Macaca fascicularis: one gene and its partner. The protein of the gene in region 1 interacts with the protein of each later gene in a biochemical or structural test. Links are inferred from orthologs where the notes say so. Each region holds a gene or a part of one and is shown on either strand. Other genes may lie near its edges.

What was found. The genes of interacting proteins can lie anywhere in the genome.
Region 2: the proteins of ARFIP1 (region 1) and ARF3 form a complex in vitro, tested with the Homo sapiens proteins (2 studies listed by BioGRID). The link is inferred for Macaca fascicularis from reciprocal best matches to the Homo sapiens genes ARFIP1 and ARF3.

The regions. Positions count from the first base shown.
Region 1 is NC_088379.1:157,703,775-157,707,760, forward strand, and holds the start of ARFIP1 (arfaptin-1), read left to right. Parts: upstream 1-1,186; 5' UTR 1,187-1,215; coding exon 1,216-1,344; intron 1,345-3,986. UniProt on the Homo sapiens protein: Plays a role in controlling biogenesis of secretory granules at the trans-Golgi network. Mechanistically, binds ARF-GTP at the neck of a growing secretory granule precursor and forms a protective scaffold.
Region 2 is NC_088385.1:55,751,915-55,754,753, reverse strand, and holds part of ARF3 (ADP-ribosylation factor 3), read left to right. Parts: intron 1-191; coding exon 192-433; intron 434-1,270; coding exon 1,271-1,381; intron 1,382-1,598; coding exon 1,599-1,723; intron 1,724-2,269; coding exon 2,270-2,431; 3' UTR 2,432-2,839.

The sequences.
Region 1 (3,986 bases):
ACTGTGGAGTCAGGCGGCTGGGGGGGGGTGCTAGTCCGCGAAGTGCGCCCTCGCGTTTGCCCTGCCAGCCCTACAAAGTTACTTTCCCTTTTAGCGGGCTCGTGAGTGCCGGCCGCCTCCCCTCCGCCTGCTCCCTCCCGCGACTCAGCCCGGGGGCGGGTCTGGGTGCGGCGGCCGCCTCCCGTCCGCCTGCTCTTTCCCTCTATCTGTCATCCCGTGTCCTTTTTCCTTTACATTCAGTCTCTTTTTTTTTTCTGTCTCTCTCTCTGACTCTCCACGTCTGCCGTTTCCTCCCCTTTCTCTTTCCGATTTTCCTTCTCACTTTTTCCCTCTCCCGTCTTTTATGGTCTCTCTCTCACTCATTCTCACTTTCTGTGTCTCTTCCTGTAAAGGAATGTGGGTTAGAATCCCTGTAAAGGAAATCTGATCTGACTTATTAATGATAGCTAGTCGCAAGCGCACTTTGGCAGCCCGGGGACCGGGGCCGGAAGTGCGCGCCGGGAGCCCGGGGACCGGGGCCGCAAAGGCACGCTGGAAGCTGGGAGCCCGGGGACTGGGGCCGCAAACGCGCGCGCCCGGGAACCGGGGCAATTCAGACCGCACGCGCGCGCCCGGGAACCGGGGCAATTCAGACCGCACGCGCGCGCCCGGGAACCGGGGCAATTCAGACCGCACGCGCGCGCCCGGGAACCGGGGCAATTCAGACCGCACGCGCGCGCCCGGGAACCGGGGCAATTCAGACCGCACGCGCGCGCCCGGGAACCGGGGCAATTCAGACCGCACGCGTGCGCCCGGGAACCGGGGCAATTCAAATCACATGCGCGCGCCCGAGAACCGGGGCAGAGTCAGCTGTTGCCCGGATCGCGAACGCGCTCCGGCAACTCAGACCGCCAGCGCGCCCCGGCAGTCGGGGTCAGAGTCAGCTGCTGCCCGGATCGCGAACGCGCTCCGGCAGCTCAGATGGCAATTTAAATCAGAAGAGAGCCAGGGGACGTCTCCCACCGGTCTCCGCTGGCTGTCCTATAGCGCGTCCGCCAGGACTGTGCCAGCTCCAGTTTCAGACCTCGCGAGTCAGATTCAGATTCAGAACAGACATACAGACACAGACAGACAAACGGAGACGAGCCAGCTCACCTATCAGTAGATCGATCCTAGCAGATCCGTTGACCAGGGGTCTGGTGGGCTTGGGGAATACCGGACGAGCCCCCAGATGTTATGCCCAGACTGTTTGTTCCCCAAAGAAGACCACCAGAGTCCAGTGTCCAAGCCAAGCAGCAAGGATCTTTACTACAAGTTCGAACTTGGTCCCTCCATTCCACAGTATACAAGAGGGCCCCGAACAATGCGAGCGTTTGCTTTTTATAGCCCGAGAGTTACAGGGGAACAAAGGAATTCTTTTGATTCTCGTGCTTTCAGTAAAAACTTGAATGGCCGTCTCCTTATCGGAGACTTTCCAGGTGGTGTTTGTACTGGGCTCAGGGAGTTTGAGAGATATATGGCAGTATGTGGTGGGATGGGAGGATGGGATGTGTTTGTACCAGGCTCAGGGAGTTTCGAGCCCGGGGGCTGAGGAATGTGCCCAGCTCCTTTCAGTACTTTCTCTGGTTTCATGTTTTATATCTAGATTCCTAATCTATTTGGAGTTTATTCTGGAGTATGATATGAGATAGAGATCAAGTTTTATATTTTCCAAATGGATACCTAGTTTTCCTGGCACCATTTATAGAAAAGTCCATCTGTACTTTAGTGATTTGAGATGCCACCTTTGTTATTTACTAAATTTCTGGGTATGTTTGGGTCTAATTCTAGACTTTTTAAATTCCACTGGTCTATTTATGTCTAGTCCCACACTGCTTTAATTATAGGTGATTTTTGGTGTTGTAGTGTTTGTAAAGGTGGTCTACTTGTGGTTTTCCTTTTTCAATGTCTTCCTACCTATTCTTGCATGTTTGATTTTCCATATCAACTTGAACATCAACTTTCCAAACTTTACAGAATAGCTTGTTAGTATTTTCATTGTATTTTCTCGAATTTATAAAGTAAGGGAGAAATGTCATCTTTATAATGTTGTCATCCTGTCTAAGAATGGGGATGTCTTTCTGTTTGCTCAGGTGTTCTTCAGTGTCTTTCAGTGGTGCTGAAATTTTCCTTGTGTGGTTTTTACACGTTGTTTAGTTTATTCCTAAGTATTTAATCTTTTTGTTGCTACTATAAATGGGATTTTCTCTGCCATTATTTTCTCTGATTATTGATTTTGTATAGGAGAACTATTTTTTGTATGTTAATTTATTGTCTTGCTACTTCATTGAATCTTATTTTTGAGTTAATTTTATTATTGATTCTTCAAGGGTTTTTAGGCTACTATTATATCATCTGCAAATAAAGATAGTTTTACTTTCTCCTTACCTATTATTTATCTGATTGATTTTTCTTAACTAGTTGATTTGGCTAATACCTCTAGTATGATGTTGAATAGTAGTAGAAATGGCTGGGCGTGGTGGCTCACGCCTGTAATCCTAGCACTTTGGGAGGCTGAGGCAGGTGGATCACCTGAAGTCAGGAGTTTAAGACCAGCCTGGCCAACATGGTGAAACCCTGTCTCTACAAAAAATTAGCTGGGCGTGGTGGCAGGCACCTGTAATTCCAGCTACTCTGGGTGGTTGGAGGCAGGTGCTGAGGCAAGAGAATCGCTTGAACCTGGGAGGTGGAGGTTGCAGTGAGCCAAGATCGCGCCACTGCACTCCAGCCTGGGTGACAGAGCGAGACACCGTCTCAGAAAACAATAATAGTAGTAGAAATGGTGGGCATCTTTGCCTTTTTGCTAATCTTAGTGGAAATGCCTTTGTTATTTCTTTATTAAATAATTTAATGGTGGTAGGACTAAAATGTATATATTTTATCATTTTGAGAAATTACCTCTTAATTCTTGTTTCCTTGAGTGTTGGGTTTCAAATGGGTGTTGAATTTTGTCACATACACTCCATCTCAGTGGTATGGAGAAAATTGTATGTTTGCTACCTGCCTTAGATTTATGAATACGGTATGTACTAATAGATTTCCTAATTGAACCAATCCTTTACCTCTAGGATAAATCCCATTTGGTCATGTTGTATTATTTTCTTAATTATTACATTCTGTTAGCAAACAGTAAAATCGTTCCCTCCATTGTATTTCTAGAGTAAAAATTTGTTTCTTTGCATTGTTGTAGCTAAAATGGTGTCTTGGTACTTATTTGTGTGTGTATTTGTCTCTGTGATTGGATTCAGAGTGCTTTTAGAACTGGAACTAGAGTTTACTTTTTATTACCCTTAGTGCCTAGCAGAATTCTTCATATGTAGTTGGTATTATCTAAATTTTACTGAATAAAAATAGAAGCAGAAATAGCACATTAAACTTTTCTTGAATGAAATTTGAATATCATGTTTCACTTAGATAGCGAACAGTCACATCAGTCCTGAAGAGCACTACCACCACATGAAGGTGGGGAGATCTGAGTTCCGGTCTGGAACTTTGTTTTACTTAGGTCACAAAAACTAACATTTTGGCATCAGACATCACAGTTTTTTCATCTGTCAAATCAAGCTGATGGTCTGATCTTTAAAAATCTGTTTCATATCTGAATGATCTTATGAAATTAATTTTTGCTTTTTGCAGTGTGCATTTTTACATTTTGCCAGATAATTTTTCTAAATTTTTATTTGTCTTTAGAATGGTTTGCCTGTTGTAATGAATAGATATACATATGATTGTAGATAGTATTGAAAAGCAAATTCTGAATACAAATAAATTAGTTATTATTTTCCCCGGTTTTTTAGTTGGACAAATTTAACCTTCAGAGAGATGGTGACTGATTTAGAGGAATTAGTAAGACTGGAGCACAACATGGGGTTTTATGACTCCAGTTGCAGTGTTTCTGTGCCAATCTGCCATCTGTTTATGTGACACAGTACTAGGCACAGTGTTTCTTCAACTAAGCCAAGCTACTG
Region 2 (2,839 bases), on another chromosome or scaffold:
GGGATCCTTAGTGTTTACTGCTTTGTCTCTGTTCCCAAAGACTCAGTATGTTAAGTGGGCCTTGGTATTTATAGTCCCCTCAGACTCTCGGTTTGTCATGAATGAACTCTAGCCATGACCTTGGGAAATTCTAATTACGTGGAAGTCCTGACAAGCAAATGATGGTACGATTTTACATTTCCTTTGTCTAGGATCAGGTCTTCCATACCAGGGACCAGGCCAAAACCAGACTGCCACTGCCCCCTACTTGGGCCCCACTGTCCCCAGAAAGCAGTTGCTGTGATCATGGGCAATATCTTTGGAAACCTTCTCAAGAGCCTGATTGGGAAGAAGGAGATGCGCATCCTGATGGTGGGCCTGGATGCCGCAGGAAAGACCACCATCCTATACAAGCTGAAACTGGGGGAGATCGTCACCACCATCCCTACCATTGGTAAGAGCAGAGCTTGGATGTGGGCTTTCATGCCAGCAGCTGAGTCAGGGCAGGGACCTATTCCTGGTTCTCCCACCTGGCCTCTTCTCCCCAGGCAAGTCCATACAATTTGTGGGGTTCAGAAAAGAGGGGGGTGTTGTTTAGCTTACTAGCAGATGCTGGGGCTGCTGTTTGCCCACCTAACCTGGCTCTCCCTGATGCAGGAACTTCCATGGCCTGGCACTCAACAGTTGCCCTCAGGCATGGAGTTGGTTTTTTCTCTGTGTTGTTTGGAAAGCAGGTGAAAGGCTTTGATGTTCCTTCCAAAGGCTTGGAATTGCTTGGGTTTAGGTCTTTGGTGGCCAATCTTGGTTACAGTCTGCTGAAGGGAGGGAGAACATTTGCCATGTAGTGGGGGCTCCAGTCAGCATTCTCAGCTGGCTCTGCCTTTGGGGCTCCAGGATGCCAGCTTACTTCCCTTTCTTCACTCTGCCTCTCAGGCCTCACATCTTAGCTGAGGCCAACTCTGGTAGCCAAAGTACCAGAGTAGGGCTGAGTCATTTTGTAGAAGGGAGCACCAAAGACTCAGTGGAAAAGTCAGGAAAGTTGGCCCACGTTACCCAAGCAACTGTGAACCTCTTGACCGACTTTCCTCATCTTCTTCGACTTCTCTTCGGTTTTCATTTTGGCCTTCAGGCTGCTAGGTTAACGATTACCAGGTCTGAGGAAGCCTTAGGCTTTTTTCCATTGTTGGTGTCATGGCCACCACTGGGAGAAAGCAGAACCAAACTCATTGTGGTGGTGGTTGCAGGGCTAGTGTTTGAGGCCAAGTGACCATTGCCTGTTTTTTTCCCAAAGGATTCAATGTGGAGACAGTGGAGTATAAGAACATCAGCTTCACAGTGTGGGATGTGGGTGGCCAGGACAAGATTCGGCCCCTCTGGAGACACTACTTCCAGAACACCCAAGGTATGCCCAGGCCTAGCATGGGTTGGTTGGGTTTGAGCAGAGTGTGTGGCTGTCTTTCTTGTTTATGGGTGGCCAACTGTTACCCTGCTATAGCTCCTGGGGGCAGAAGAAAGGGAGGAAAGGGAGCAAATATTTGGAGGGTGTCAGGCAAGTGTCTTCTTGTTGGGGGGAGGGGGTTACCTGTCATCTTAGTGCAGCCCATGCTCTGCCTCCCTAGGGTTGATATTTGTGGTCGACAGCAATGATCGGGAGCGAGTAAATGAGGCCCGGGAAGAGCTGATGAGAATGCTGGCAGAGGACGAGCTCCGGGATGCTGTACTCCTTGTCTTTGCAAACAAACAGGTGAGACTTCTTCCCACCCCAGAATCTGGGAGACAGCAAACTGGCTGTGGAAATTGTTGGGTCTTGGGCCTATTATATGGTAAACCCTTTTAGTATGCTCTCAATTTTAGAAGTGTGGGAAATTGAGCAGTTGGCTTCTTTATGCCCCTCTTCTCGTGCCCCACCCCAGCTTTATTTAGCAACATTGCAGTCCTCAGGGATTGCCTCAAATCTTTCTTTCATCTTGCCTATTATCTACTTTAGGTGAATTGGCCTCACTCCTGCTGTCAGACAGACCTGATTCTTTGGTCAGTTTGAATCACGTCTCTTGCTTCCCCACCAATCTCGTATTTGGTTTCCAATTCCTCAGTACAGTGACCTCCAGTGCCTTGGATCTTGGGTTTTAGGGTGACTAAATCCAAAGTAGCTCCTTAGGATCTTGGTCTGGGTTTCCTAAAATAAAGGAGGAGGGGAAGGTGCTGGTACACATTTCTTTGGTAGATGGGTGTTCTAGAAGCCTTTAAAAAATCCTGAGGCTTCTTTTTGTGTGTCTCCCACGTGCTCCAGGATCTGCCTAATGCTATGAATGCTGCTGAGATCACAGACAAGCTGGGCCTGCATTCCCTTCGTCACCGTAACTGGTACATTCAGGCCACCTGTGCCACCAGCGGGGACGGGCTGTACGAAGGCCTGGACTGGCTGGCCAATCAGCTCAAAAACAAGAAGTGAGAGCCAGACAGCCCTAACCAAGCACCCCACCCACCCCTGACATACCTGCTGTCACCCTGCCCCAGTCCTACCCCTTCCTCTCCACTGCAAGTGTGGCCAGGGCCCTGGGTATCATGTCCGCATGCCCAGCAAGAGCCTTGCCTCCCCTGCCTCCCCTCCTTTTTCCTGTCCACCTATATGACCAATCCCTAATTGCTGTCCTGATGATGAGTCATTCCAATTTACTGGATTTTAAACAAAAACAAAGTTGTTATGGTTTCATGGGGTGGCCCCTCTCTCTCTCACCCTCTGGGTTTCGGGAGGTCGAGTGGGGTATTCTCTTTGTTTGGCAGTGGTTGCTGTCCTCTTGGCATCTGAATCCTTTCTCTGTCCCCACAAGCCCTTCTACTCCCTGTTTGTCTTTCCTTC